Linked DNA regions of Arabidopsis thaliana. The protein of the gene in region 2 interacts with the protein of the main gene of each other region in a pairwise test. Each region holds a gene or a part of one and is shown on either strand. Other genes may lie near its edges.

Region 1 (8,387 bases), on a different chromosome or scaffold from region 2:
TGCACCTAATTAATTCCAACCTCTTAAGCGGCTAAATAAACTCTTGAGCATCCCAATCAATTTAATACAGTAGAAGTTATTTATATAAAAAAAATGCAATGAAAGTGGTCTATCTTTTTACTATTGTCAAATTTTTTACCAGGTTTAAAATGTAGTTTGTGGAAGTGTGTTGTCTTGTGGTTAATCAGAATCTTATCTTCTCATTTGGGTGAAACAAGACTCTTAAAAAGTGACCGAAAGGCTTAATAATATTTCAGACATACCAATGTCAAGAAGACTTGATCTACTACATACATACATGGCTTCCTTTATTAATCTCTTTATTAAAACATTCTTTATGATTATTAAGGATGTGGAAGTTGTGAAGAACAATCTTATTAGCGCACGAGACCCAAGTTCAAGATACCCCAAGAAACATCAGGCCAAGATTGATCCTGTGACTTCATGAGAAGAACCCTAACCCAAGCAATCCAACCTTCCCATGACATTCTCTTGTCCCAAGGACTTCCCCATTGCAAGAGCAGAAGAAGCCCTTTCTCTGCCTCTCTCTCTGCTTCTTTGAATCTCTTCTTTCCCAAGTACACTTGACTCAACAACACATGTGGCTCTCCCACAAATGGGTTCTTCTCAATACAACCCAACAATCTCTCCTCTGCTCTCTCCAAGTACCCTTCTTTGCTTGTGTCACTGCTCACAACTTCCCAGTACATCTCCCTTGCTTCTATCTGCTCTTTTGCATCCAATACCTGGTCCATTACATATGAAGCTATCAAGACACTATAGTTACCTACCACTACCAATAAGTGTGAAAGCTACTAAATTAAAGAAGATACAATCCTAGACACCGGAACACCAATGATCATGACATGAGACAGAACCAATTTAGCTAACTAAGAATACCTTGGTGCAGAAGCTGAAAACTGGAGGCACGACAAGATCTATATCCTCATCTCTTTCCTTCCTCACTTCAAACCCAGAACCAAAAGCCCTTCTCCTCTCTTCCATCAAAATCTCCTCTTCTCTCACAATCAAACTATAAATCGCTCCCATTCTCGAATTAGAATTCATCCACAGTCCAGGCTTCCCATTCCCAGGCCACAACGCAGTCACGTTGTTCCCTCTAAACTCAAGTCTCCCATCATGATTACAGAACAACTCATCTTGGAACCCAAAAAGCTGATCACTAAAATCCGCCATTGTCATTAACAAGAAAACACCAACAACTCTCCTCGAAACAACGATTTCTTCACCTGTCTTGATATGCTTCACAACAACACCGTTCTCAGGAACCAAAGCATTAATCTTCTTCCTCCACTCTTCATCTCCATCAAAAATCCCTTTCTCCTTTGCGTTCCTCAACGAAACCTCAGAACAATCAAGATGCTCAACGAGCTCACAATCAGAGTACTTAAACAAAAGCTCATCGTGAATCAGAGTTTGTCTCGGTACAACGCAGAAGAGATGGATCAACGACTCGGCAGCTTCACCGACGTGATCACGGACGACGTCACGACCAGTGGAAGGATCGAAAATAGCTAAATTGACATAGGAATTGGAGTAAGCAGAGTGGAATAGACCACAGAGACAGACGGATTCAGGAGCTTTCCATAGCTTGAGGATCTTGTAGATATCGATTAAGTGATCTAGGAAGCTTCCGTGTTTGTGCCAACACTCGCCGGCACCGACGCTTTTGAGGACGGCGATTAACGACGGGAGTTTGGGGTCGATCTTTTCAAGCTCTCCTCGGAGAAAAGGTCGGGCTGATTCCAGTACGGCGTCGTTCGGGGATGGAGATGATGATGAACCCATTTTGTCTCTATTACTCTCTTTCGGTTGATGATGATCGCTTCTCCAGCATGGAGGATTAAACCTTTTTATTAGCATTAAAAAAAAAAAAAAAAGACTTAAACAATGACTCTTTTAAAAAAACCATTGACCAGGACCACCAGGTTAATATTTTATGATTTCCCTCTATTAGATGACCAAGCAACATTGATGTTCATCGGCAAACAGAACAAGAACTGAACTCCCCCACTTCTCATAGTGTTTCACTGTTTTGTAATAAAAAGAGTTACTATTAATTTTAAATCATACAAGCATGCAACTCACTGAGCAACTCATAGGAGTGTAGTTATATAGTGAAGATTAATTAACTGAAAATTACAAACTAAAAATTGCAATTCTTTTTACCACATTCATGACTGCATATAATAACTTTTTTTTTTTATTGTAAGGACTACCCCTCTCTCCATTACTTGAGACAACAATCTGTATCATAGATCTGAAAGGCAACACACCAAAAGCCGAATGAAATGATTGAATAGCTCGAGACCGACAGGTATTCATTTATTGTTGCGATACTGTCCCATTTGTAACGATGTTTGATTATTTTAGAATTAATGTCATCTTCACAACAACAACAACAAAAACAGAGGAAACAGTACAAGTGAACAATGAAAAAAATAACATTACAGAAGAAAGATTGGGGGAAAGAAAAGAGAGCAGAGAATCAAAATGACTAAGACTATTACCAAAGTGTTTGACTTGTAACTTTCACAAGGGAAATGTAACCTAAAGGACAAAAATAATGATAGTAAGCGAAACCCATCAGTAGATAATATATATAATCATATATTAACCTTTTCCACATTGAACTGAACATATTGCCAATGGCAGCAATGGCTTCATCATCACAGCAAATATAATAAGTGTGATTCTTCATAGGAAATACGGAACTCCAGTCCTTGGCCCTCTCATTTGATTGTTCTCTTCTGTCTCTGTGAAGAACTTCACTTCCCTTTCCTGGTAATACAAACATTTCAATCGATTTCATCACTAACCCATGCAGGAAGGAGGATCCTAGTAGCACAGACAGCTTGAATCTATGGTCAATGAAAATCCACTACAAATGCAGAAACAGAATCTATGGCTCACACAGATATTCAAACCTCATTGCACATGGCTTACTTGATTTAAATTCTCTAAATTACTTTCTATAATCTTCCTAGATCCATTAATTCAAAGAGGCACATAGCAAATCAACAAGAGTGTACATATTTTGATAGAGTAGAATCTTAAAAGAAATGATTAAAATCACTGAAGTAATAGAATCCCTTCTTGCTGACAGAGAAGATTAGAGTATTCATTTAGGAAAGACTAAGAGAGGCTCACCATGTTGTCATTGAAACTCAATATAGAAGCGACATTCCCACAGCGGTAACAGTAATTAGGTGCAGACCATACCTTCACAAACAAAACAAAATTAACAATCACTAAGCAGAGTTTCAAAACGCCCACTAATAAAAAATATCAATTCATTAGAAGCAGGACACTCACAGTTACAAGGCCTTTATCTTGGAACATGTACTTAAGACCTTCTTGTACAAGTTGGTGCGCGCGGCATACTAGATCCAGCTTGTTGATATGGTTAAACTGCACAAGAAGCCAGAACCAAAGATCAGAGATGTGAAATTAATTTCTTAGTTACAGTATCAATTCAAGCTTTTGAGAAAGTAAACATACCTCAGTGGTAACCCTGGATCCGAAAAGCCAACCAGCTCCACGTGGACTAACCGCCCATGTTTCAATATCTTCAGGATCACTCCACATAAGATCGCAAAAGGGCCCTTCATGAGGAATTTCGCAATTTCGCTCGATCAGTCTTATCTAGAGCCCACAGCAAATCTATGTGAGTGGAGGACCTTAATAACATGCCAAGCTAGAAGCATAATTGACGGGTGAAAGCCACAAGCAATAAAAGCAGAGTTTAACCTGATCAATTGTCCGGACATCCGGGGAAAGGCCACCGTGAACACATAGAACCTAGACAAAGCAAACTATTTTAGTATAACATACAGCTATATGTGTTCTCATCAACAATGCCAAGTTGCTAAGAAATCACTTACTGTGCCATCTATAATAGCTGACAGGGTAAGATAGTCAAAAACATCTGTGCAATATCGCCACGCATTAGCGTTACCATACTTCCTCTGGCATTCGTCATAGAAACCATACACCTAAAAAAGTAAATCAAATGGTTCTGTGTTATAAAGGAGTTCAATGTCGAGAATCCATGTATAATTTTGATCATCTAGTCAGCAGATTCACGAAATGCATATTTGAATTGCACTTTAAGAGGTATGATTGCAGACTAAGTCTTAGTAAAGGTTTGCCAGGAATGCATTCAAATACAAAATTATCACCACACTTTCTTCCTTAAAAACCTATGTATCAACTAGAACACTAAGGATTACACACATGCTAAAAAGGAGACTGGTACTATATGAAGCACCTTCTGAAATTAGCTTTCCAATACTTGATTCACATAAAATGCATCTTAGCTAACATCGATGTCTACATCTGACATGACATTGCCACATGTAGTACAAAATCAGAACTTTCAAAACCCTGCTGTAACAACGAGAAGATAATCAACATTGCTTACCTCCTAGGAACAGCGTGAAAAGCAGAATAATAGATATAAGTGGAACAGAATAACACATACCTGCGTTAGCTGCCTACTTTCATGATTTCCGCGCAAAAGTGTAATATTGGCTGGATATCTACATATTAGAATACAAAGAACAGAGAAACATGAGATGCTAAAGAAACAATATCATTCTCGTTTGGACTAATTTTGAATGCAATACGTTACTGGGACTATTTCTTCCAAAGAAAGATAAATAATTATCAAGATTAATTGCTTAATAAACAATAAGTTCGTATTAAGCACGAACAAAAAAAAACTTAAAGGCAAAGATTCAATGATAACAGGAATCTCCAGAACATTTATGAGCACCTTACCTAGCTTTAAGAAGTAAAAGAATAGTGAAGACTTCAAGGCTGTTGTAACCTCTATCCACGAAGTCCCCCTGCGAATTTCCCACACCAGATTATGATTGTATTCATAATTTCATATCAATATGTCATACAAGACACCACAAAAGAAAACTCGGTACCATAAAAATGTAATTGGTGTCGGGAACATGACCTCCGGTCTGAAAAAGCTTCATAAGATCATGAAACTGGCCATGGATATCACCACATACGGTGACTGGACTGTTTACAGGCTGTACGTTTGACTCCTCAATCAGAATCTCTTTCACCTGTATAACATTATGATAAACATCTTCTGGTTAACACCATGATTCATCTTCGCAAATCTATAAATCAATCGCTGAGAAAGGAGACCATAAAATGGTATCTAAACTACAAAATTGATGCCTCCATAGTTGAAAAGAAAGAAAAATCCTAAAATCACTACAGACCAGATCGAAGTCACGTTCCACTAAGGTATATAAATACAGATCAAACCAAGCAGAGAAGAGCACAAGAAGCTTAATCGACCAAGAGAAGAAATCAAGTAAGAAGAAGAAGAAGAAGAAGGCGTACGTATTCGCAGAGAAGCTGAAGCTCGTCTTCGGAGAGATGCTGACCATCTTTAACCTTGGAAATCCATTGATCCAAATCCATAACTCTCTCTCTATATATATATACCTCTGACTGGTAAAATCTTCAACACTTTCGTTCGATTTCAATAGCGACTTTTCTGGGAAAAAAGAGGAATCGAATCGAATCGAGATAGATCTACCAGAGAATCTTCGACTTCGTTAGGGTTACGTAAGAGGAGGAGATGAAAGAGAGAATGAGAGGTTCGAGTTTCACAAAATGACACATACGGCAAAAAGAAAAAAAGATCCCAGATCGATCTCTGCCGCTTCCAACGCAAATCAAACTTTTGCGTTTGTCAAAACGCAATCGTTGACGAACCAGCGTCTCATAAGAAATACGATTGTGATCCCTCATACTTCTAAAAATTATGAGAATTGCCAAAAACTTTATGATTGGGTTCTTAACAACCCTCTTTGAACAAATAACAAAAGACAACCATAAGATCCAAATCTCCACTACAAAGGACAAGGACGTCACTTTCTTGAATCTTCATTCTCCTAAATGTACAATATCCAACAATTTACAAAGGAATAATGAATTTGAATCTATAAACCAATCCAAACCAAAAAGAATCATCAATCAGTAACTATTTTTCTCTTTCTTGTATAAGAGTTAAAAGGACCCCAAAAATGGTTAGCAACAACAACACTTGTGGAAGTCGCTATGAAGAATGGTGGCAGCAAGAAAGGACAAAGTTGTTCATGAAATGGTTGAGCTCAGCTGTATACAGTTCTGGGTTACTCCGGAAATGGTCTACATGAGGTGAAGATATGAAGTTGCAAGCACGGACCTCATGTCCTGCTTTCCTCTGCTCTACAATGAATGATTCAACTTGTTCCACCGGTATAACTCTGTCTGCAGAGCTGTAAATGTATAACTGTGGACAACTTGGTTGTGCTGTTGATAATGTGTCAAGAACATCGGCAAGTCTCCTGTTAAAAATATGATTGCACGCATTTGTTAGTGTGAAATCATAGGATATGGGTGACAAGAATGAGTGAAGAGATATGATTGCCCGCATTTGTTAGTGTGAAATCATAGGATTTGGGTAAAAGAATGAGTGACGAAACGCGGAGTTTTATTGTATGTTACCTGTTTACTTTGGGAAGATTTAGAATCACCGCAAAGAACTTTTCAAGAACCAAAAGCAAAGCTGTTTCTGTTGCAGCGGGTTTAGGCTGGGAGATGTTTATACCGTTTGACTCATATGATGAGCTCGCAGATCCTTTAGTGGCTACACTGCTTTTCTTCAAGAACGCAGCTGAGAAACCTGATGCCCATACCTGTTTTAACAAAGCCAAATTAGTATCCAGAAAGTTCAAGCGAATAGTGCAGAAATCTATAAAAAGAATAGCACCCATCAGCGTCTAGCAAATCAGGTATCCAAGCCTATGATTTAGCACAAGCCAAATGACCATATAAACATGGCTATGAATGCAAGAATCATCGCTTACCGTAGGATCTGCAGCAGCAACAGGAGCTGAGTCCACTATGCAACCTTTAACTCTTCCCATCAATGATGAATCTTGCTTCTGAAACTTTTCCAAAATGGCTCCATATCTGCATAGATGAGAAACTCGCTTAGTAAAATGTAAAACCGCCATGTAACTATGTAAGCACATGAAAAAAACAGAGATATTAAACTCACGTTAACCACCCGGTGTTGCTGAAGGTGTGAAAGACGAGATTTTTCTTTTGCTCTTCATCCAACCAATCAGCCAAGTGATTAACCAGCGACTCGATGTTCTTCTCTGCTTTCCCTCCAACTTGATAACTCATAATCTCATTCATCGGAAGAGTAAATGTAATGACATGGTAACCCTTTGAAGTGTACCAATCAGCATATTTCTTCAGATGCTTCTGCTTTGATCCAAGCCATCCAAGCAAAACCACAACAGTTCTATTCTTTTCAGACACACAACTCGAAGAACCAGACATATCGACTGCACTAGGCTCAGGTAAATGCCATCTGTAGGAAATATCAGGAACCACAAGTGAGGCACCGATTGTGAATGCAACCGGTTTCGATGCTTTAGCCAACTCTGCAGACTGATAAACACTACGAAGAGCGGACAGAGAAGTAACAGAAGTAGCGAGACTACAGCTAGGATTAGAAGCTAGGAGATCAACATTTGGTACAGGAACACAAATCCTCGACACAAAAGATAAATCTGCAAGCTTGGAGGCCGAGACTTGAGAAACCCACAAGGACCTTTCTTCCTGAACTAAACCAGACACTGAAGGAGCAATCTGCTCTGATTCAGAACCTCGAACTAGTGATCTAAGAGATGAGAACCTCTCAGAGACATCTGCAGACACAGAAGCTGTAATCACAGCAGCAGCAGCAACAAGTGGCCGTTGAATGATCCCAGACAAAGAACCCATGATCGCCACAATCTAATCCAATACACTCCAAATCTAGCATACCAATCTCATTAATAGAAAAAGAGTCCTGTTATATAAGATGAGATAGATTTGTAATAAGTATAGACACACAAACATAAACAAACACACATGTTTAAAACGCGTGTAAGAGTCCAAGATTGTAAGGACATGGTGTAAATTACCTGGAAGCTTCAAACTCGGGCTGTCAAGTTTTGACAGCCCGACCTCAATGTACTAATAACTTGACAGAGTCAAATCTCTCTTTCTCTCCACCGAAAAAACGCTTCTCTGCAAGACAACAATCGTTTCAAGTCAAAACATCTCTTTGAAGCTTGATACTAAAAGAAACGATTTCGTATGATGTTGACACAAAGGGGAAAAGAAACAAGCTTTTCTCTTCTCTTCTATTATTTGATCTCTAAAATCATATGAGGATCCCACCTCCAACAATGAAAAAAAGATGATTTTTATAGATGGAATTATTTATTCTCTTCCCCCAGAAATCATGAGAAAAACCTATGAACAATGAAATTTTGTATCCTCAAAAACCT
Region 2 (8,469 bases):
CAACGAATATTCGAAAACCATTAGCGCGTTTAGTGTACATATGGTCTTTCAGAACTTGCTCCTCAAACACACATCTCAGTATCTCACACGTACTATAAGTCTATAAACCGATCTTGGTCCATGTATGTTTCTTGCTCGAAAATGACAATATTTTTTCCCGTCTTCATATTTGTTATATGTCATGTTACCTACCATATTTTGATTGTGATATGTGAAAACTGATAGTGGTTCTGTTTGCATTATACATTTTTCATCTGAAAAACTGACATTATAAATACCGTTCTCTTTGAAACAAAATCATTTAAATTATATTTAGTTTACGTATAAAGTTTGTATAATTTTTTAATATATTAGTCATATGGCTTATATAGTCCATAAACTACACACAATATTCATATATACGTGTACTTCGCTCTCCCTTACAAAAATAAAAATAAAAATTTTACAATTTTATAGGAGATTCAATTAACATGCATCGATTTTTGTCACGATAATATATCACCGAGACAATCCCCTTCTATCGAGAATCCAAAATACTTAAACGAATTAACGATGCTACCGATAAATGTTTCTGATTCCGTGACGAATTTTCGATAATAACAAAAAATCCATTGGCTAAAATTAAACAACGAGAGTTATAATTATACTAACTGATTGAAATGGAGGTGCACGGAGCCCATTACAGGTTTTGTGCGACGCATGTTGGTCTAATGAGACCTCTTAAATAGAGACACTTGCTAATCTTGATAATCAATTTAATTATAGATTAGCCGACCAGTTTTTTAGGTCGTGACGGTGGATTAACGGCTTTAAGACTTCTTTCGATTTGCGTCCCATTATGTTCCCATCCAATGCGACAACACATTCAATTGGTACTCGGAGCCCAATCAACGAGTTATCCACTAATTACTTACTTAATCATATTAAACCCTCATTAGTGAATACTGAATACTGTTATCGTTTTACGCCAGGATTGAGTGTATAAACCACAGGTTTCGATTCTTTGTCGTTCTTCGTCGTTTTGTTAATGTTAATTTTTTTTGTAGATTTTAATTGTTCCGCTACTTATATTTTTTTGTAATTTATGTCGAAATTTCAAAAGTAGTATAAATATTCCATATTTTATCCAAAAAAAAAGAAGTTGGAATACTTTTCATGTTTTCATAATCAGAGTGGTGTTTTCTTAGATTAATTAATTTATCAACAAAATCTGCAAAACTTCTATATTTTTTAGTTTAAATTTTATTAGTAATTAAAACTAATATGACATAAAATTAAGATTCCATTGTCTCAAATACAAAAACAATTAAAAAAAAAATTGGGGGCAAACACAAAAATATTTCATTGTTAAACATACTTTATATCCAACAAACGCATGGTTAACTATACTTCAAATATTAGGAAGGAAAAATCGGCCCGCAACACGAGAAAAAATGGCGGAAAACTCTGATAAACTACATTAATAAAAACTAAACACGGTCGTTTTCAGTCAATTTGCTTATATCCATTTTTTACTTTGTTGACAGAAAAAAAAATACTCTACTTTCTTAAAAAATCAATTTCGAAAGAGAGAAAACAAATAAAGAAATGAAAAGGAGCTTTTTATTAAACTTTAGACAAAGCTTTTTTGACTTTTAATTATCTTTTTGCCTTTTCTTTATCTTTTTGTTTTTAAATAATTATTGTTCATCATCCCTACACACACTACATGGACTATTAATTACATCACTACCAGCTTAAACTAATGATAACACGAAATGCTTTCAGTGCCAAAGCGCCTAACCCAATTCTCCCACTACGACTCTCATCATTTACTACAGCAGAAAAGAATCAGTAAAGCCACCAAATTTGATCACAATAGTACTAATTAAGAATAATAATATAAACTGTTTACTTTTAAAGCGTTATTTGCTCATGTGAAACTGGAACAAGGGAATATTCAAAATCAAAACCACACTTTTCTTCGCTAAAAAAAATCTACACAATAATCAACTAAGAGTTACCCGAACCTAATCAAAGAACACAAAAAAAAAAAAAAAAAGACTGTGTAAGAAAAATAAAAGTTACAAAAATAATAAGTTGTCTTCATCTTCCAATCTTTTATTTATCTTTTCTTTGTCTCGTTGCCCCATGTTTTGCTCCTCCTTATCTGCGTCCCATTGTCTCACTCAAATAATCTCCCAATATTCTATATATAAAAAATATGGGAGAAGAAAGGGTTTCTTGGCTTGTAATGTTGGCATCAGCATTCCTTAAATCATGCTACTCCCTAGTTGTACTTACATACTCTAAGCTTTTTTTAGTTTGTTCCATGAGACACTCTCTAGTTTCCCTTTCTTCCTTCTCCCTCTACAATTGACTCTTTCTCGGGGCTTTCATAACCGAAAGCTTATAACCCGAGTAGAATGTAGTAAACCAGCGTGATCGGAAGCGCTATAAGCATTCCAAATATTACCCTGAAAAGTCATTCAAGTTATCACAATGTTAAATGTTATTGAAAGGATTGCATTAGTAATCATATATGCTAATGGAATAATTATCATAAAATCTTTGACTTACCCTGTACTTAAAATAGCAGGATGAACATTGTACTCCTTCGCAAACACAAAGGGCACAATTCCTTGAGGTAATGCGGCCTAAAAAACCATACCAAAACATTTTCACATTTTTCATATTACACCAAAAATAGTTTTAACCAAAAAAAGAGAGAGAAAATTTTACCTGAACTATAGCGACACGCAGTAAATCACCACGTAATCCGATGGCTATAGCAGCAACCGCCATCACGGCCGGACCCGTAAGGAACCTAACCGCCATGGCAAACGTTGCCACTGAATTCCCACAAGCGATTAATTTGGGTTGCAACGCCATGAACAACCCTTCACGATTATTTCACATAAAGTTTAATTTCAAAATCAGGTAATCAATAAAATTTTATATATCTAGAATAAATCCAATAAAGTCCCATAAAAATGGGGACCATGACGACTATCAACAACACGAGACCATGTCGTCCACCATTACCATTTATCTAATAAGACACTCACAACATAGCCCCACCTGTCGGATGGTCCATCCCCAATTTTTTGTTTTTCATAATATAAATCACAATGACAAAAACAGCATATAAATTTATGAACTACCTAATTTAATTCCATTGTTATGTAAATGAGTTAATATGTCAACGAAATATGCAAAATTTAGAAATTTTCCGTGACAAGTAAGACGTTTGGTATGAATCATATTTATTCATTTAAATGGCTTCAAAACTAAAATTTCGAGAGGAATAAAAACAGAGTACGAAGAAAGACTTACCCAAACTAAACATTGCCATTCCAAGACCAGCATCAGATAGAATGGAGATAGATTGTTGAATGATTTTGGGCATTGCCACGTGCCACCTTCAATTCAAAAACCGGAATAAATTTCCCGATAACCGGTTGGTTCGAGTTAAGAAAACAATTAATTTTGATTTACTAACCGGAAAGCGACGAGAGCCCAAATAAGTCCAATGAGACTAGAGTAAGTGTTTGGGTTTCTGATGAGTTTCCTCCAAACCATTATCAGTATCAGCCTTGTCATCACACTCGCCGGAGGCATATTTTTTCGTTGACTTGCTTCGGCTCCTCCTAGACCTGTCTTGGATTGTAGCGCCGCCGTGGAATTTGGAGCAAGTTTGTTTAGACCATTCTCGGCGTCTTTTGGTCTCTCTGCTTCTTCTTCTTTTCCGGCGAAACTAAATTGTTGTTCTCCTCCGAAATCTCCACTTGCTGGATGAGCTACAGCTATATTCACCACACAAAACAGAATTGAGAAAATTTGCAGTGACTTATCAAGAAAGTTATCTAAAGATTGCTAACCTTTGGTCTCGCCGTTGTGAGATTGATCTGGGACTAACATACGGATCTCTTTAGCACCTTGGTCAGATCTTCCGCCTTGATCGTTGTCAGGTGCTCCGCCGAAAACGTTAAGACCCGCCCGGTCTGAAACGGGTGACCCGTTTGAGCTCCAGACGAACATGTGAAGCTCCTTGGCGTCATGGCTGTTTGACTTGCCGCCCGTTGGAAGAGTCGTCTGCTGATTCGTATTAACGTCTTTCGGGTTTTTATTGACGCTTTTATTGGCGGTAGATGTGGTGGTTGAAGAGAACTCTGGATTCGGAGCCGGATAAGACCCGGCTCCTCCTCCAGGGTAATACCCGAATCTCGGGGAGGATGCCATGGCGCAATTCTCCTCGAAGTTTGAAGGTCGAGGAGTTGGACCTCTAGATGATTGAACGGAGTACATATCCGCCGGACCGAAATTGGAGAGACGACCACCGGGGAAACCCATCATGTTGTAAAAATCAGAGTGGTTGAAATTAGAGCCTCTAGGAGTGGTGCTGAGACTATAAATCTCAGCTCCGGTGAGATTTGACGGCCGTGGAGTCATGTTCGGGCCGCAGAACGAACGACGTGAAGCGTTGGATTTTCTCACGGTGACGTGAAGCTTCCCGTCGTCACCTATCTCTGCATCGGTCTCAAGAAAATCATGGCCGTCGAGCGAAACGACGTCGGATTCGACTTTGAAAGAAACAATGGAAGCAGCCGTCTCAGGGAACTGCTCCATGATGAGCATCTTGGCGCCACGAAACTCGAAGAGAAAAAGGAGAAGCGTGTACCAGATGATACACTGGAGGACGACGATTTGGACCATGAGGGAACCAGAGTATTCGCCATACATGGCGATCAAGAGAGGAATCCCCATAACAAGAGTGTTGGGAAGTGTGGAGAGGGAAAAGATTGTGATGCTCCACTCGAGGCTACCGGAGCGAGTGAAATTAGCCCATAGGACTAAAAGTGACAACATGATGATTTTTTGGAGAGTGTCGGCGGCGATGAACCGGAGATTCATTGCGTAAGGATTGTTGGTGGAGATGAAGTGAAAAGAGAGGAGAGGGACGGCGAAGATGGCGACAAAACGGTTGATTCCGGAGCATTGGTCGGGTGAGAAGATTTTCCACCACCGGACAGAGCCGTAAGCGAGGATCATGGCCACGTAGAGAGGAATCACGGCGGTGAGGACCGTGTAGAGGTCGTGCCATGAGATCATCTTGAAGGGACAAAAATGGAAAACCGTTAAGCAACGGTGTCGGAGGAAGAAGAAGAAGTGAGAGGACTTGGGAGCAGTGTGTGTGTGGAGTGAGCAAGTTTGGTTTTTGAGGATATAATTTAAGGAAGGATGCCACTTTACACCTCTTTATACAGCAAATACGTGACCACCCAAGTTCCTTTTTACTAATTTATTTTATTTTATTTATTCTTTAGTATGTTACATTTTTTATCGATCTTATCAAAAAAATAACAATATAGTTCTTTTCTTTTAAGATATTGTTTATAAGATTTATTATGTTTTTGTTTAATTATTAAATAATATTCTTTTTATTATTATATTGAATAATACATCTCATCATATGGAAAGTTTAAAATAATACAAATTAATGGTTAGAGTGTTTTTCAACATTTTTATATTTTATACTACATAACTAAAATCTAGTATTTTTTGTTCGACTGATTGAAACGGACATATTGTAGATAACAACATACACATAAATAGTCAAATAATTAAAATAACTGATAAATAAGAATATTGTTGAATAATTTCAGTGACATTCATGTGCTTGATTTTTCATTTTTTATGATTCATGAAGATTAAAGTAAAATATGGAAAAATAGAAACTGAGTCTGCCACATTTTTTACTTGTACAAATAGCATCTGAGTTAGATCTTAAGAAGAAGGTCTACATGTGGCACTCTACTTTTGGGGATGGGCATGGCAGAGACATACCTTTTCTCTTCTGTCCCCTAATCTTTGCTTTTCAATATTTTACTTTACCTTTCTTTCACATTCTCTAACTAATCCATTTTCGTAATATGAATAAATCAATATCGATATCAATATTAAACATATGGGTATATTACTAAATTAAAAACTAATATCTTGGTACCCCGGCTAATAATCAAAAAAGCAATAGTTAAATATCAAAAGTATTTGGAAATTCTTTTTATATTTTGTGATGTTTGATAAAACACTTTTTATAAAGTAATCATTAGAAAAATAAGGAGACAAGATGGGCTGGAGACAAAGAAGATCCACTAAGGAATTGGATGGCTCAAATGGAATTTGGCTAATGGCGTCGAGTGTGTCTATGTGTTATTGTTAGGTTTACTTATTTGTCTCGTGAAGTAGGCAACACTCAATTACTCCTTGGACGACATAAATTTTAGCCTATATTCTCATCGTTAAGCTTCTGTCTAATTCCCCTTCATGATATTAGTTAACACGTCGCTTCGGAATTATTTGTTCACATAAACTAAAATCTGAATTTAGTGTAGAGATGATCGGTTTAAACTTTTTAACCAAAACAAAAATTGAGATGAACTGAAATTAGAACTACAGTGGTTAACCTCTAACTAGTGGTTGGAGGCTAGCGGTAAACATATCTTTTTAAATAGATTAATAGAGAAATAAAATTCAAAAATGAATTATCAATGAAATTGATATTAGACATTTATTGATTTGATATTTGAGTTTTAAAATATTATCATCACAATGTAGTACTTATGAGTATAGTTAATATATGTCATTTTTATTTATGAGTTTTACAAAACCAAATAGCTCAATTTATTGTATAAATTTAGTTAATATATCATTAAATCACTTATATAGTAGAAAAAAATATTTTCCTGTATTTTATTCTTATAATTTTTTTTCCCGATATGGGCATTACTACCTTTTTAGTACAGAGCCAAAGTTTCACATGAGTAAATGGCTGAGACAGAGAATGTCGTGACCTTCTTGTGACTTAGTGTTGCTGTATCTTTCTGATTGCATAAAATATTACTTGACACAACTTCCTCGAATAAGTCCAAACATGAATGATTAATTGTGATTTAAGCTAAGATAAAATCTGCCGTCCTTACAAAACCATATTATACACTTTATTCAACTATTTATCATAATCGAATCAACCTATTATTATATCTTAATATTTTCACTCAATTGACATTCAATTAACAAAATAAATAATCCTAGATATCGGCAAAAGATTTAGGGAACTTTTGGAAGCACTTCATATGTCAGCTTAACCATTTCCATTAACTACCAAATTATTCCATCTGTTTAAGTGTTTATATAATTGATAATTCTAGCTAATGTACATAAAGATCTACACAAAAATATACATATTCCACAATAAAGCTAGTACACACAGTGTTGTGCGTATAAGGCTATGACTGAGTGACTCAAAATGTTTATGGCTAAGTTTAAAAATGTGCCCTCTTTTAATTGTTACAAAAATATCATCTAAAATTTTGGTCAAACTTTGAGTTCAATAGAGTACTAAAATATTATTGTAAAGAAAAAGAAGTATTATACAAAACAGAAACTAAAGTACAGTATCATTTAATAAACACACTATATGCAATAAAATTATGTTTGTGGTTAAATAATCAAAGATACACGTGAACAAAAGTATACGGTTTAGCCGTATGAAATAAACACTAAAACACATAAGAATTTGGCAGTTATATATTGATACAAATCAAATGAGTGGTTAAAACTTCGGACGATCAATATTGATTCCAGTTCTTCAAAAGAAGTGGTACGTCGAAGCGATTTAGACAATCTTGAAAGTGAACAATGATGGCTACTGGTGGCTTAAACACGTGATTAAAGAATGTGAAATGTTCATAAACTTTTCAATTTACTCACTCTTAAAGAATGAATAGTTTAAAGTTATCGATCGTCAATTATTGAATATAATCTGGGAAAAAGGCTAAAAGTTATTTAGGAAGTCCAAGAAAGAGAATGACAGATGGGTGTGATTTGTGACCATGAATTTCGACATGTTATAACGTACACGACTGAATCATCTTTGTAATCATAATGATGATGTGATAATATTTTTCAGTGTCGCAAAAGTATCGTTCTAGTGTTATTTTTAGGTTTTGTAAAGAGATATCATCTATAAAAGTTTTTCCGTATATTGCAATGTATGAATTTGAAGTAACGGTAACACAATGCATTTATGTAAAAAAACAATAGATTATGTATGATATATGGTCCACTAATTTTCATATAAAAAACAATTTACAGTTTTATTCAGTTTAAAATACTTCTGAGTTCTTTAAATTACAAGATTAAGAATCAAATAGAGTAATTTGTTTGTTTTTTCCCCCTCTAAACATACCATTTTTATAAACCTTCTCAAGAATTTTTAATATGATTCTCCCTTTCAACAATTGTATGTTTTACTTCAGGGACCTGATTCATGGTTTATAATTTATGTAATTCAACTGTATGTTTTAAACTTTTAATTAATGACTAATGAGTCTCTTATTTCTCACTTACCACACAACAGCTAGTTCGGTTCACCACAATAATGAATCACTGACCAATGAGACGAGTCCACATATACATTGTCAGAAA
Region 3 (8,530 bases), 8.1 Mb from region 2:
TATGAGGTGTATAATGTCAACAATTGATCGAAACGGTAAAATCTATATTCATGCAAAAGTTAATCCCTTCCTCCAGTACTATACACTAAGACAGTAGGGTGGGAAAAGATTGAAGGTAAACCTTATCAGGTCGCAGGATTTCGTCCATTGTTATGTAGAGCAAAGCATCATTACCAGCCCATTCAAGATAAGAAGTAAGTCCTTTAAGCTGTTGCCCCACTGGTTTTAGGGCTTCAGAGTCGATGACATTCACTGTATATATCTCATCACCTTTTGTGTCCTCTGCATATGCCACCAATTTATGATCGGGACTCGCCTATAAAAAGAATCAAGAAAATGAAACATCAAGTTAGTAAAGAGCAAGTTTGAAAAGGATATCTCTTAGGACGATTTTTAAAGTCTATTTTCTAGTCAAACCTTGAAGGCCCCAATTCTGTAGTAGTCATGCTCTTGAGCCTTGGTATTCTCATCCAATATCACATGCTCAGGAGGAGCATCTGGACCAGTTGGCATAGTATCATAGACAGAAGGCTCAGCTTTGTTGTCAGTGATCAAACGTCTACAGTGCTGAATATATTCCTTTCCTTGAAGATTTTTCTCATAATAATAGTAAGGACCCTTGCGTAGAGGTGCAGATATATCATCTTCTTTGATCCTCCCTCTTATTTCAGCAAACAGCTGATTCTCAAATTGCTTGGTCCCTGAATTTTTATTTTCCAGTCTAATTTATCACAAGCTTGCATAATCAACAAGTCACTAATACTCCAAATTGAAAACAAGGAAAGCTAAAAACCCTAATCCCCTAAGTATCACAACGTCACTGACAGAGGCAACTTGAAAAGACTCACCAGACATGACGAAATCAGTGTAGTGATTTTCTTCACGAAGATAAGAAAGCATGTCGGGATTGGTGCGAGAATCGTCACGGAGCCAGTAGTAATTGTCAACCCTAACGTCACCGAACATCTCCATCACATGCTCCACCTTCTTCGCTACAGGAGGGGATCTCGATTCCGCCATGTCTCTCGGTGATGTCAACCGCACTGACGCAGCTCCGGTTTCAGAGGAAGAGGAAAAAGAAGAAGACAGCCGTAGAATAGAGCGGCGGCGAGGAACAAGAGGAACGAGGCAAGAGAGAGGAGTATCGAAGTGGAGAAGACGACTACGAGTCGCGAGAAAGTGAGTGCCGAGAGATACGAGTCCACGCCTTATTATCATATTACGTGTCCGTTTTAGTTGCCTAGAGACTCGCGACCAGTTTGTTAATAGAGGACAGGTCATATCCGGTTTGGATAAACCGGCCTATCTATGATTCCGGTTACAAAATTATTAACTCTTTCGTGAATTTTTGCTAGGATTATTGAACAAAACCAAATAATTAGATTAGAAACAAATTACTGTTGAATGTTGATTAATGGTCTTCTATGTTCTTGTAGTGGACTATTTTTGAGCTTGATGAATTTTATAAGCCTGAGATTAACCCAGAACCTAATCAAACCGTGCTAAACTGCAAATAAGCTGAGATGATAAAAATTGGTCTTGCTTACAGAACAAAGATGAAACAAAACAAGAAAGAAAGCACGTATAATAATAACATCCAGAAGAGGTTCAGGTTAAAGTGCATCAAAACCACTAAAATTACCAAAGTGACATTCACTTTCACAAGAAAATGTTTCCAAAATGGAAAAAGGAAAAAAAAAACAATGGAAGTGTAAACAACATCAGAAGATATACCTTGAAAGAACATAAGCCAATGGCAATCATGATAATGGCTAACTTGATAAGAGCAATACGAGACTAATAATGATGTAGGATCATCATCATGAATCACAGGAAATAAGGAACACCTGTCCTTGGCCCTCTCATTTGATTGTTCTCTTCTGTCTCCGTGAAGAACTTCACTTCCCTTTCCTGGTAATTAAGCATATTTTAACAAATCATTACTGTCAGTGAGGACCAGATCCTAAACACTTCCCAGAAACAGGTCTATATATGAAAAGTAACACACAGAGCACAATCAATATGGACAGACTGATTCCACGCGAACTGTGAATTGTTACTAAATAAATGGCTTAAACATCATAACTCTATCTCACAAGAGTCACTCATGTGTATATGTTTGGGTCGAGAGACAAGTATCAAAGGCAGTAACTTATTTAATCAAAAAGGAAAAGTAGAATCCGAAGACGAGTGCATAAAAGTAAGAAGAACATGAAACAAGATATTGTGGCAGATCAGTAACAAAAGAGAAAACAAATGCCTCACCATGTTGTCATTGAAACTCAATATAGAAGCCACATTCCCACAACGGTAGCAGTAATTAGGCGCAGACCACACCTTTACAAAAAAAATAAAGAGAAGAAACATCACCAAGCAGATTATACTTCCAACTATCCAAAATGATCATAAGGAAGCAAGGCACTTACAGTTACAAGACCTTTATCTTGGAACATGTACTTGAGACCTTCTTGTACAAGCTGGTGAGCGCGACATACTAGATCAAGATTGTTAATATGGTTAAACTGCACAAGAAGCAAAACCACAGATCAGGGAACTGAAATACATTTATTTCTTTTCACACCTTATTCAAATTTCAACCCCAGAAAAAAATATAAATACCTCAGTGGTAACCCTGGACCCGAAAAGCCAACCAGCTCCACGTGGACTGACAGCCCATGTTTCAATATCTTCAGGATCACTCCACATAAGATCACAGAAGGGTCCTTCATGCGGTATTTCGCAATTCCGCTCAATCAATCTTATCTAGAGAACAAAATAACATCTAAATGAGTAAATGAGATTTAATCTAATCATAAATAACACTTGCATGGTGAAAACCAAAAGTAATTTAAAATAGCACATTTTAACCTGGTCAATTGTCCGTACATCAGGTGAAAGGCCACCATGAACACATAGAACCTACATTGAGGATGCAATACGTTTTAATATGGTATACAGCTAACTTATGCATTCATAAAATTATACAAGAACACATCATAACACAATGCCAAAGAAGCTGAGAAATACTTACAGTGCCATCTATAATAGCTGAAAGTGTAAGATAGTCAAAAACATCCGTGCAATATCTCCAAGCATTAGCATTACCATACTTCCTTTGGCATTCGTCATAGAAACCATACACCTAGCAAATATAAAATTGGTACGACAATTTAAGAAAACTATAAAAATGAACCTGCAGGGCACAAAATATCACTACAATCTTCGTCCTTGACAGTGGATGTTAAAAGATATAGGATATGGTGTAGGATAGAGATAAATCAAGAGCTTCCGAGAAGAAAACTTATGGTTGCAAAGGGTTCACATAAAATGCATCTTAGTTAACATCTATGCCTATATCTAGCATGGCATTGCCACATGTACAAAATAAACTTTCAAAACTAGTTATAACAATTGAGCGAAAATTACTTCTCAACCAGTAACTGCGTGAAGAGCACAGCAAGTCAGCAACAATAGATATAAATGGATTAGAATAATGCATACCTGAGTTAGCTGTCTACTTTCATGATTTCCACGCAAAAGAGTGATATTGGCTGGATGTCTACATATTGAAATACAAGGAAACGAGTGATTTTAAGCTCACAGCAAAGTAAGTTAGAATATAAATTTCCTGGAATACAAGTTAAATCGATTTTCCAGTAGAGCAATGCGTTTACAGCTTAAAGAGCATTCTCAAGAGAACTATGATATACAGTGTGAAACGGAAGGATGACGATCCATGACATATATAACGCACAATTTCTACGGAAAATCTTACCTTGCTTTAAGAAGCAAAAGAATGGTGAAAACTTCAAGACTGTTGTAACCTCTATCAACGAAATCCCCCTGAGAAAATCCCCCACAGATAATTAAACTATGTGTTACATATTGATATGTCATACGAGCCTACGCCCAAAGTCAGAGTCTATACCATAAATATGTAATTGGTCTCGGGAACATGACCTCCGGTCTGGAAAAGTTTCATAAGATCATGAAACTGGCCATGGATATCACCACAGACGGTGACAGGACTGTTGACAGGTTGTACATTTGATTCCTCAATAAGAATTTCTTTCACCTATATAATAGTCAAAATATCTTGTGAATTACCAGAGTATCTTAGCAAATCATTGTCATGAAAAAAGAAGAAGACGGCTGCTACTACAAGTTTCAACACTAAAATTACTATAATAAATCCTCAAATAACAGTTTGCAAGCGTGGACTTGGTGCATCCATAAATTGGCTAAAGAAGAGCTAAACTTATCCCTAATTCCTTAGAATTTAGAATTGAAATAGCAAAGTCAATAAATCCTCTATTGGAAAAATGAGAGAAAAACCCTAAAATCCGTAGACCAAAATGGCAAAGGAAACAGTAAGGGAGAGAGACCAGATTCAAAGTAAAGTGCCACAAAGCAAGCTCTAAAGTCTCAAAAGAGTAAGCGAAGAATTGGGTTTTTGTAGATGCATGAATATTCGGGGAAGAGAAAGCAAGCAAGAGAAGAAAGAAGAAAGAAGAAGAAGGCGTACGTATTCGCAGAGAAGTTGAAGCTCGTCCTCAGAGAGATGTTGGCCGTCTTTAACCTTGGAAATCCATTGATCTAAATCCATGGCGGCCTTTTATTATCCTCTCTGTCTCTCTCTTTCGGTGGTGAAGTGGAAATTGGTGCTGTTTCTTCGATTTCAATGGTGAGTCTCGACGATCTCTGGTGAAGAATTGAAAGAAAGATAGATCTAGCAGAGCATTGCTCCGTCCGCTTAGGGTTACGTAAGGGGGAAAGAGGGAGAGAGAGAGAAAGGGGAAACACAACGAACCAAACAATCTCGACCCGAACCCGATTTGGTCTTCCTCCATCCCCAAACTCTATTCGTTGGATATTTATTTTTAATCATTTTTTTGGCAACATATTAAACATCAATTTAATTTTTATCTATTACTTCATTACACAAATCTTTAATGGAGTATACTACACATTTTCAATGTTTTTGCAATTCTTTTCTTGGTAATTTTATTTGTCTACTTGAATGTGACAATTGATAACACCTAAATAAAATTCCACAAATACTTAAACCTTCTTTATAGTATTTTTTCTTCTTTTTAATTTTTTTAAAAAAACACATTTCGATATATGTGTTGTTGAATTTGAGTAAGACCTTTTTGATAATTAAAAACTCCTAAAAAAAATTATTTAAAAGTCTTGTTAAACAAATTGTGTCTAAAGACACATTTCGAAATCTATGTGATGTTGAACTTTTGAGGAAGGTTGTTTGTGGGAGACCGTACGGGATATGTTAGAAATGAATCAATGATCTTGGATAGGCATTAGCAATACGATCGTTCAAGAGCGAACCTCACTCGATTCATTTCAATGTTTATGTTTGGGTCTTCCCATTTGGCTTCTGGTTAGGGATAATTTGAGAAGGAAAAGTATTGTTATGATGACCTCTAAAAATGACAAAATGGAATTTGTCTCACCAAAAAATCTCCAATGTTCAAATTACATCCGAAAAAATCACTAGTCGGAGGGCCAAATATTACGGAAAGTATATATTGGTGTTGGTTTGGTTTATACTTGGTCGAGAGGTGATCCGAAACTTAGTTCCACTTAAAAAAGTGATGCATCGCAAAGGTAATTCGAAATTTAAATTGTGAAGAGTTTACTCAGCTGCAAGAATAGAAATGATTTTTCTCAGACATGTTCATTTCGGGTTTGGGCTGGATTGAGTTTTTTTTTAACCCACGACAACATTCCAAGAAAGATCACTTGTTGAAGAGGGATTCCACCAACTGACCATCTGATACAAGTGCATGATTTATCATATGTAATTTTATCCATCAAATTATCTAAATTTTTGTAGAGTCTAAGTCGAGATATCACTGAAATCGGCCAAAAAAACTAGTAGTTAAATAGTTTTTAAAATACACATTGTCCAAACACGATAAAGATTTTTTAAACTCAAAACAATCTTGTATAAAATCTATACAATTTTTTTTTCCCTTTCTAACTCCATATGTTTACAAACAAACAAACTTGTAAGGAAATTTATATTATTATCATAGTTTACCACCTTGTAGTTATTTCTCGCTATGTCCATTTTAATTAGCTTGATAAAAAACTTAACTATTTAAGAAATATAAATATTGATTTGTTTTTGCAACGACTATTTATATTCAAATACAGCAATGGTTCACTGGACTTTGGAATCCTTGACAAATAGATATACTGTATAATATAAAAATTATTTACTGAATTTGCCAATAGATTTGGGTGGCAAATGAAAAACATGACTCTTTCAGTCCCAAGGAGCCTTCTCACTTCTAGCAGCAAAGCCAAAAACCGTAGTTACATCAAACGTGTAGAAAAGGAGACGTGCGTCTCAAGAAAAGGAAGTAACCATTAATACCTAGTACTCCTCAACCTCCCCCACCAATTCATCTTCACCTTCTCCGCTGAACCACCTGTTTCTTCACTCCCAAGTTTGCTAAGTATCAGTTTCGTTTCCCTTAGTCTCCCTCCATAATCTTTCTTCCATGTCTCAAACATCTGTTTCAGCCTTCGTAGCTCCCGGTCCGGATTCAAGTTTGCTTCCACCTGACCAGATTTCACTTCCATCAAGAACTTTCTGTCGTCACCAAATACCTGAGCTCTTTGTCCAAATTCCTCAGCTAACCGGCTTATCACGCTTAAACCCACGCCTACACTTCTTGACCTGCCATGGCCCATTTGGTAATGACTACCTCCTGAATCTAAATCTGTTGCATCGCTTGCATTCACCGATGCATCCGAGTTTCTCGCTGAGTCCTCAACCTCTAGGCTTTTCTTTGCGATGGAAAGACTGGATTGCAAAGATTTCATCTGCTTTTGCCAAATTTCTTCCATGGATTTCATCTTTGTTTCATATTCAGACCACCGGTTATCGTACTGCTGGACTCTTTGTCGGAGGATGTCGTTCTCCTCTTCTTTCTCACGAAGAGCAGCTTCGGTTCTAAGAACCCTACGCTGAAGATCGGAAAGATATGATGCCTTCACTAGCACCTCGTCTGACTCATTTCTCTACATAAAGAATTGGTTTAAGAGTCTAGCAATATGCATATATATCATGTAGTCAAATGCACGAAGAGAATGAAAGCTTTGAGAGGACCTTGGTGCCACCAGAACTAAGCCATCCAATATCCCCCGCACATCTTCTAACCAGCTCTCCACGAATTGCTACAGAAAAAGGTTTCAGCATTTCTTGAAACTTCTATTTTTTAAAAATATATTTTGAGGTTTAATTTGTTTCAATCATGAGAATTAATCAACCCTATTTTACCTGATTGTATTACAGCAGATGCATCAACTGTGGCTTTATACTGTTGGCTAGCAATCCTTCTCTTAACATGGCTTTGTATAGCAGCAGAAGCTCGATGCCTCTGCAGTAACTCCGTGTATTCCTTTCTCATCTTTTCTCCACGAACAACTGAAACAGAAGGATGTGTGAGGTATGGTTTCTAACGACATAACAAATACAAACCAAGATATTGAAATGAGACAAGGGGCAATACATGATTGAAGAATAGTAATTCCGGTTTTAAGCTCTTTTAGACGACAGCGAGCTTGGTGCCCTCTAAAATAACTTTGAAGACGTAAAATGCCATGCAGAGTGCGATTCCTTGTATCTTCAAGAACCCCAATCTGCAATGGTGAAGCAAGTATACTGCAGTAAGAATGTCTAATTTGTGGCCCCTAAAGTCAAGACATCAGACGACTAGTTATAGTACCTGGCCAGTTCTGAAAAACAATTTTGTGTAGCCAACTTGGTACATCTCTGGCAAGATATTAAACTGATGGAGAATTGCAACCGAAACACTTAGAGGATCTTTTGCTGCAATGTTCTCCAGCAGAAGGAAACCATACCTAAAGTATGACAAAAGAAAAACAGCATGACCATTCAACATTATTGCAACTAAAAAGTATGGGAAGCCTATTATAAGAGGACATGCAATACAATGAAAGTGCACCAACTGGAGATGGAGTTGTTACCTTCGGGCAAATTTATGATGAAACATTCTCGTGGGAAATCCAGACCGGGATATTCGAACGACCTCTAGGACACCACAACATCTTAGCTGCTGTAAGACAAGTCCTTGCTCATACAACCCGGCAGACTGAACATTGTTTGGCTTTATGCAGCGAATAAAATGTGGGGTAGTGTTCCCTAGACGTTGCATCAATTGGAAAAGTTGACCCTGAAAAAAATATCCCGGCATCGTCACTAATCAAATATTATAAGATGACGTTTCCTTCTAAAGTAAGCAGAAGCCTTTTGGACAAGAAATGGACAACATATGTTGATGAGATGAAAGCTGTGATGAGTAAACCCTCAACAAATTTTAAGAGCAGAAATAGAAGCAAGCTGTGTTTAAGGAAATCACCCAACCTTAAATTTAGTTGCTACACTCAGTCGCTGGGAATCAGCTCCACCTGCTTTGTGTAAAGGACCGACAAGAGGTTTTTCAGAATAAATGAGCATACTAGAAGCAAACGCCTGAGG
Region 4 (6,568 bases), on a different chromosome or scaffold from region 2:
AACAGGACTATCATCTGATTTGTTCCAAACGTCAGTTACCAACAGAGATTTCCTCACTTCCTGGAAAAAAAGCAAATCAATTTCACTTGTTATAATCTGACTAAAATACAAAACAAAAACCCAATTCCTATAAACATTGAAACCGAAGAGATAACAAGATCGAAGATTTCAGTCACGTCTAGCTAGATCCCCATTTCATATTTTTTCATAAATAAAAAATCTCAGATTTTCACATCCTAATTCGAAAATACTCATATCAGTTGACAATTTACAGGAAACAAGAAGAAAAAGTCTACACATTTAACTCCACAAAAGAGTTCAAAGAAAACATCTAACTCTCCTCGAACACGTATCGCAAATGTCAACGAGCAATAAGAAGAAGAAAAAAGAGAAGAATTTATGGTTTAAAATGTAAATCGAGAAATCGCAGAGAATCAATCATGTGATGATCCAAAAGACGGAAGAAACGAGTGATCGTACGTTGCTGAGACGAGCAGCGAGAGAAACAGCTTTCTTCGCAGCAGAAAGCATCTCATCGTAAGACATTGAAAAATGGGTAAAGCAAAAGAGTACCACGAAGTTGAAGAAGAAAATCTCTGAAAGAATCGATTTTTATGATATGAATGGAAAAACCTCTCGCGACTCTGAAGCAACTTCTCTTCCCAATTTTTATTTTGATTTAGAAATATACGTAATACTAATAAAATAATAATTAGTTGATTGAATATAGTTTGGTTTTTGGTATTTAAAATGTATTTATTTGCCAATCTCTCTACCGTTGTGGAAAAGTAGGCAAAGTATAGAGTCCCCTACCGTTGCGACAATGATAAGTTTCTCTCACGTTGTCTCATTCCTCTCTTTATTTTGTTTATTATACTCACCAAAATTTTATACTATTTTTTAATTAATAGTTTTATTTTTATTTTATAATTTTGTACATTTTAAAAAGTTTTATTATTATTAGAATACTCTGCAGATTTCAGATGGCATATTGCAAAACTGCTATAATCCAAATGAGGAAAACATAAATACATGTAAACAATCCAAGAATGAATTGGTCCAATAGGAAGATATTTTCTTAGAGAGAGATATTTCATTTTATATGAATTCAGATTTTTATATTTTATTTAGTAATATATATGTAATTTCGGTAAGTTTGCTTTCTTTTTGTAGGTGAAGATAACAATCCTGATTAATTTTATGTTTGGCAAGAAATAGTATATGATTCTCAACTTTCTAATTAAATTATTTTGGGTTCGTTGTATTTGTTTAGTCTTTTCTGATATGCTTTTATTCCAAAGAGGTTATATGCTTCTTCTTCCTTTTTCCCTCTTCTTTTATACTAGCTTACTAAATTAATAATTAGAGGTATGCTAATCTTAATTAAATTATATTGCAAATTGCTTTTATAGATATTGTAAATGACGTGTGTACCTTTTGTGTGGCCAGGTCTTGTCAAATCTTTCGCTGAAAACAGGTTATTGTGTGTTATATCAACAACTTATCATTATTAACACAAAATATCTTTGTAACATGGATTAAAAACAAAGCAGCTAGTATATATTATTCACATGAAAAGATTAAAAAAAATTGTGCGACTAGTAGATTTGTGATCGCCCCTTTATAAAGTTTGACTAGATCACTAGACTACATTTAATTATTTACAAAGTCTCAACGATTCCTTTCATCGTGAATGGGATATTATTGGGAATAAAATCACGAATTTCTAAAAGTTGCACAATAATATATATTTTTTTGTAAGATGGTACACAATAATATTTTAGTTATACTATAACCAAAGAAAAAAAAAAACTATTTACACCATATTAATTATTTCTATATGAAGAGATTTTCTACTTAACGCGCTTACTTTCGTATTAAGATAAAGTATCTACGCACTGTAGACACGTACGTCGGTGCATCATGCATGTAACCCTTAAAAGGCCTTTTTACGGCCCGTTACTGGTCCATATTAAATTCTCTACATAACCCTTTATACTTAGCCCAAAACAGAATTTCATTTTTATTTCTTTTTCGAAAATGGAAGAAATTCTCACTGGTGAAATTCGGTGAAAGAAAATGAAACAACAGTTACAGAGAAACAAAGAACGTACGAGAGAAAAAAACAAATCAGAGAGCTGAAGCTTTCTCTTGCTCAGCTATGGAGTCACGAACTGCTTTCAAAAGCAGAGGCATTAGCTTCTCGTTAGCAACGATAATGCCTGTGTCCAAATCAAGATACTTCCCTTTCGAGAAATCCAGTGGCTTTCCTGCTGCATCTGTCACTATTCCACCCGCCTCTGCACCAAAAAGAAGAATCAACCTTGCATTCCTTATCTATTTACATCCGCATGTCGACACTATAAAATTAGCTTCATAGAGAGTAAGCTTTAATGTTACCTGTAACAACTATAGCACCAGCGACATGGTCCCAAATCTTTTCGCGGTATCCTTTATGAGGAAACCGTAAGTATATAGCTCCATCTCCTCTTGATAAAGCTCCATACTTTGCTTGGCTATCAATACGGACTGGTGGAGCTTTGACACCGAGTTTCTGTATATTACAACATAGAACATGATCAAATGGATGAGGAAAATTAGTTAGCTATTAGCTGGAATCACATGGAAGGAAAGAAGCAATTTACATTGGCAATGGAGCTGGATAAGTCATGTAGAGAGTGAGCTCCTTCGAATGACTCGAAGAACGATGCCTCTTCAGGATTCTCAACACTAGAGACTTGCACTTTTACAGGAGAAGATTTTGAATCTAGGAGCTGCATATATGTCCCTGAACCAATTGTAGCAAAGAAGAGGCATCCAATTTCGTCTGACGAAGATTTGTTCTTGTTGTTTCCTGCTATGGATGCTAACGGCAAGTTTGGACAAGCAAGCACACCTAAAACTACTTTCCCTTCCTCGAGCAATCCTAGTGCTACTGCGTATTGATCTCCCCTCAGAAATCTAAAATCATGAAAATGCTCAGTGTCAGGAACATAACATCTGACTCAACATTCTATCAAATTTACATTTTCTCTGAAATAAGAAGATTTGACTTTAGGCTAGTTAGTTTTAAAACGTACCCTTTAGTGCCATCAATTGGATCCAAGACCCAGTGTCGACCATTTGGACCACCTTCAGATGTTCCACAGTCAATGGCTCTAAGTAGATCATCAGTAGACAAAGTAGAGCCATTAAACGATTCCTCGGTAGCCAAAGTGTCGTTCACGAGTTTTGTGATGCGCTCCAGAGTATCCTGAGAACCATCCTTGCGTAGATCGCCTGAGTCCTATATAGATCATTTTAGACAATGTGAGTCCATAAACACAAACTCAAAGATAAGTAAAGTGTGAGACATCTAACAAGGATTTATTAAGCAGTTTCACCTCTTCAGCCACCAATGAAAAGGGTTCAGAACTGAGCTCTTTTTCTAAGACTAAACTAACAACTGCTTGTGAACCTGAAATTCAACACAAGACAGATCAAATTAAGTGATTTCCTAACAATCTCAGTAACATTCAAAGAGAAGAGCTTTTTCTAATCAGGGACAGGTATAACAAACTAACCATAATCAGCAACGGTCACTGGACTTTTATCAGATTTTGATTGCACATCTGATTGCAACAAAGCCTTTTGAACTTTCTGAAACAAACCCAAAACACAAAGATAAGATTTTGATCAAAGATTTACACGAGCTTCGTATGTAGAGGACCATTACACTATATCACTAGAATCTATTCCCAATTACAGATGCAATGCACAATAAACACAAAATGTTAAACGAAATTTGGAAGATTTACAAAATGGGTTTCTTAAAGAATCAAACTTTAGAATCTATGGGTCATGATTGAATCGAAAAAACCCTAACCTGACAGAGACGAGCAGCGAGTGAAGCAGCTTTCTTAGCAGCATCAAGCTCTTTCTCGTAAGCCATCGATGAAACAACTCTGAGAGTAACAAATGAAGGAGAAGAAGACTTGCGTCCGAATACAGAAACGAGACGGTTCGATGAATTTCTAGGTCTCGAATTCGTTCTTACTGCTACAAATGATTGAAGCGGAGCCTTCGCTGTTCGAAAACAATTTATAGACATCATTCGCTTTTCAAGAAGATAAATATATGTCTTCACATTTTCTGATTGCAGAGACAATTATTATTACTTTTTTGAATTTCCCATTTACACCAGTGTACTTATTTATTCTCTGAACTTAAACCCTAAACTTTATTTTAGATCAAGAAAGGCCATATTTGCTCTGTTGGTTTAGGGGTCCATGTGGCACCAATTGAAAGAACAAGTACAAACGGTGAAAATCATAAAAATAAAAAACTTTAGTGATCTTCGTAGATTGGTTGTTGAGTTTTGGGCTAATCGCACGTGGATGTTGTGGTTGAAACATAAGTGAATTTATAGGTGGTGAAGATACAAAAAGGCTTCTTGATGAATGAAGAAGCCCAATAAAAACGGTTCTGGGTTAATATATTTTGAGGGAATCAAAAGCCCAAATAATTTTCTTCAGACAAGAGCTACAGCTTTGCCACGTTGTCCACATGAATCATGTTGAAATTTGGTCTATGATTTTGGGTTATGGATAAATCATTAATGACGCAGAGACAAGACTAAAAAAGATTTCTAGATTGATGATGGCGTGTGAGAGAGCAAAATACGTTTTGATTATTTGCCGGCGCAAGCAAAGGGTCACGTTCCACTAACTTTCAAGATTCAACAAAACCCACTTTCTATAGTTTTATATGTTCATTTTTTTCTGCTAAAGTATTTTTATATGTTCATATTTCTCTTTTGTGCCATCTTTTTAATAATTTAATCTTCCTACAGAAGATAATCTCCAACAAAAGTTTTTTCTTACAAGAAAGATTCCGAGAAGTCTTTTGTGTTTTCAACAAACTCCAGGTTGATATATACTTGCCACTTGTGTAACTGTATCTTTTATTCTTGATTTTGATTGGTTTCTTCTCCAAAGATTGGATTTCTGAAGGTTCTTGTGCTGCAGGGTTTTTTCAATGAACATGAGCAATAAACGTAATCAGCAACCTTCGTATATTGCTGATCATTTCAGCAGTTTGGATCAGGTCTCATAAACTTACTTAGTTATTTCTTGATTTTAGTCTCTTTCATAGTGATGAATTTCTTGTGAACTTTGCTTTTTAGGTGATAACTTCTCTGAGAGAAGCTGGACTTGAATCTTCAAATCTGATTCTAGGAATTGACTTTACCAAGAGCAATGAGTGGACAGGTAATTATTTGATTTGATAAAAAATGCTACACATGTTTACGAAAAGATTCAATGGTTTTGGTTAATGTTCTGAATTTTCATTGCAGGGAGATATTCATTCAATAGAAAAAGCCTTCATGCCATTGGTAAAAGACAGAATCCATATGAGAAAGCAATATCGATTATTGGTCGTACTTTGTCTCCCTTTGATGAAGATGATCTTATACCTTGTTTCGGTTTTGGCGATGGTTAGTTTCTTATTTCTTGCTTTCAAGATGAATGAATAAGATAAACCAAAGTTCTTAATGGTTTTATGTTTTCTTCTTCCTGCAGTAACAACGCGAGATCAATATGTATTCAGCTTTTATCCCGAGAACAAAAGCTGCGACGGATTGGAAAACGCAGTTAAAAGATATAGAGAGATTGTCCCACATTTGAAGTTGTCCGGTATTTTTGAACTTTCAAAAATGGAGCAGTTTTGTTCTCTCTTATCGTAAAGATTAATCAGTGTATTCTTCCCTCACAGGTCCTACCTCGTTTGCACCGGTTATTGATGCTGCCATCAACATAGTTGAGCAGAACAATATGCAATACCATGTTCTCGTCATTATCGCAGATGGTCAGGTCACAAGAAATCCAGATGTGCCGCTTGGTCGACTTAGTCCACAGGAAGAAGCTACTATGAACTCGATAATGGCAGCGAGGTAAAACTATTCAATAAGCTCATATTCATGATCAGACTTCATATGTATACTAATGATGTTTGATATAAATTTTCCAGCCATTACCCATTGTCGATAGTCTTGGTTGGAGTAGGAGATGGACCATGGGACACAATGAAACAATTCGATGACAATATTCCTCACCGTGAATTCGATAACTTCCAGGTAATATAATAAAACCCTGAATAGCTCTGTTTTGTTCCTGAAACATGAATCATGAAAAACTGTGTTTTGTTCCACAGTTTGTAAACTTCACGAAGATAATGTCAGAGCACAAAGATGCGGCTAAGAAGGAGGCTGCTTTCGCACTCGCAGCTCTCATGGAGATCCCTTTTCAATACAAGGCTACATTAAGTCTCAAGTAAATGCAATAAAAAATTTACCGTTGGAAACTACTTGTATCACTCACTGTTTATGGTCTTATTGCATTAGATTCTTTGCCAACTAAACCAACCTTTGATTGTGCTTATGAACAGTAGAAAACCAGTGCGCAGTTCCCATCAGCACCACAAGCCACTCCCGCCACCACCAGAGGTTATAGAGCGTGACAATGCTGTTAGATCGGTGCCAAATCAGATGACAGAAACTGCAGAGAAAAGTGACAGACTCGCTCCTTCC

Evidence for each region.
Region 1: the proteins of PIN3 (region 2) and FYPP3 interact in a protein complementation assay, tested with the Arabidopsis thaliana proteins (one study listed by BioGRID).
Region 3: the proteins of PIN3 (region 2) and FYPP1 interact in a protein complementation assay, tested with the Arabidopsis thaliana proteins (one study listed by BioGRID).
Region 4: the proteins of PIN3 (region 2) and SAL1 interact in a protein complementation assay, tested with the Arabidopsis thaliana proteins (one study listed by BioGRID).

Annotation. Positions count from the first base shown.
Region 1 is NC_003074.8:6,959,093-6,967,479, reverse strand, and holds FYPP3 (flower-specific, phytochrome-associated protein phosphatase 3), read right to left. Parts: upstream 5,745-8,387; 5' UTR 5,473-5,744; coding exon 5,392-5,472; intron 5,106-5,391; coding exon 4,959-5,105; intron 4,872-4,958; coding exon 4,804-4,871; intron 4,563-4,803; coding exon 4,505-4,562; intron 4,017-4,504; coding exon 3,906-4,016; intron 3,823-3,905; coding exon 3,772-3,822; intron 3,667-3,771; coding exon 3,523-3,666; intron 3,433-3,522; coding exon 3,337-3,432; intron 3,244-3,336; coding exon 3,172-3,243; intron 2,803-3,171; coding exon 2,719-2,802; 3' UTR 2,274-2,718; downstream 1-2,273. Other genes in the region: AT3G19990 (E3 ubiquitin-protein ligase), read right to left, coding at 378-746, 901-1,884; AT3G19970 (alpha/beta-Hydrolases superfamily protein), read right to left, coding at 6,113-6,383, 6,544-6,734, 6,906-7,011, 7,100-7,836. UniProt on the Arabidopsis thaliana protein: Catalytic subunit of protein phosphatase 6 (PP6). Dephosphorylates phosphorylated phytochromes, with a preference toward Pfr forms.
Region 2 is NC_003070.9:26,739,792-26,748,260, reverse strand, and holds PIN3 (Auxin efflux carrier family protein), read right to left. Parts: upstream 5,322-8,469; 5' UTR 5,092-5,321; coding exon 3,861-5,091; intron 3,786-3,860; coding exon 3,482-3,785; intron 3,402-3,481; coding exon 3,316-3,401; intron 2,880-3,315; coding exon 2,722-2,879; intron 2,637-2,721; coding exon 2,560-2,636; intron 2,457-2,559; coding exon 2,390-2,456; 3' UTR 1,792-2,389; downstream 1-1,791. UniProt on the Arabidopsis thaliana protein: Acts as a component of the auxin efflux carrier; this activity is enhanced when activated by PID-mediated phosphorylation. Seems to be involved in the lateral auxin transport system.
Region 3 is NC_003070.9:18,654,970-18,663,499, reverse strand, and holds FYPP1 (Calcineurin-like metallo-phosphoesterase superfamily protein), read right to left. Parts: upstream 4,993-8,530; 5' UTR 4,607-4,992; coding exon 4,526-4,606; intron 4,076-4,525; coding exon 3,929-4,075; intron 3,844-3,928; coding exon 3,776-3,843; intron 3,560-3,775; coding exon 3,502-3,559; intron 3,143-3,501; coding exon 3,032-3,142; intron 2,920-3,031; coding exon 2,869-2,919; intron 2,764-2,868; coding exon 2,620-2,763; intron 2,523-2,619; coding exon 2,427-2,522; intron 2,338-2,426; coding exon 2,266-2,337; intron 1,912-2,265; coding exon 1,828-1,911; 3' UTR 1,448-1,827; downstream 1-1,447. Other genes in the region: AT1G50380 (Prolyl oligopeptidase family protein), read right to left, coding at 122-316, 418-701, 849-1,218; VIIIA (P-loop containing nucleoside triphosphate hydrolases superfamily protein), read right to left, coding at 6,394-7,050, 7,139-7,206, 7,310-7,456, 7,542-7,671, 7,758-7,893, 8,020-8,225, 8,417-8,530. UniProt on the Arabidopsis thaliana protein: Catalytic subunit of protein phosphatase 6 (PP6). Dephosphorylates phosphorylated phytochromes, with a preference toward Pfr forms.
Region 4 is NC_003076.8:25,607,365-25,613,932, reverse strand, and holds SAL1 (SAL1 phosphatase-like protein), read right to left. Parts: upstream 3,932-6,568; coding exon 3,866-3,931; intron 3,640-3,865; coding exon 3,564-3,639; intron 3,458-3,563; coding exon 3,384-3,457; intron 3,287-3,383; coding exon 3,081-3,286; intron 2,962-3,080; coding exon 2,646-2,961; intron 2,555-2,645; coding exon 2,401-2,554; intron 2,301-2,400; coding exon 2,131-2,300; downstream 1-2,130. Other genes in the region: AT5G63990 (Inositol monophosphatase family protein), read right to left, coding at 1-60, 481-546; RGLG3 (Copine (Calcium-dependent phospholipid-binding protein) family), read left to right, coding at 5,017-5,085, 5,165-5,249, 5,336-5,476, 5,562-5,675, 5,755-5,932, 6,010-6,115, 6,193-6,311, 6,427-6,568. UniProt on the Arabidopsis thaliana protein: Phosphatase that converts adenosine 3'-phosphate 5'-phosphosulfate (PAPS) to adenosine 5'-phosphosulfate (APS) and 3'(2')-phosphoadenosine 5'-phosphate (PAP) to AMP. May regulate the flux of sulfur in the sulfur-activation pathway by converting PAPS to APS.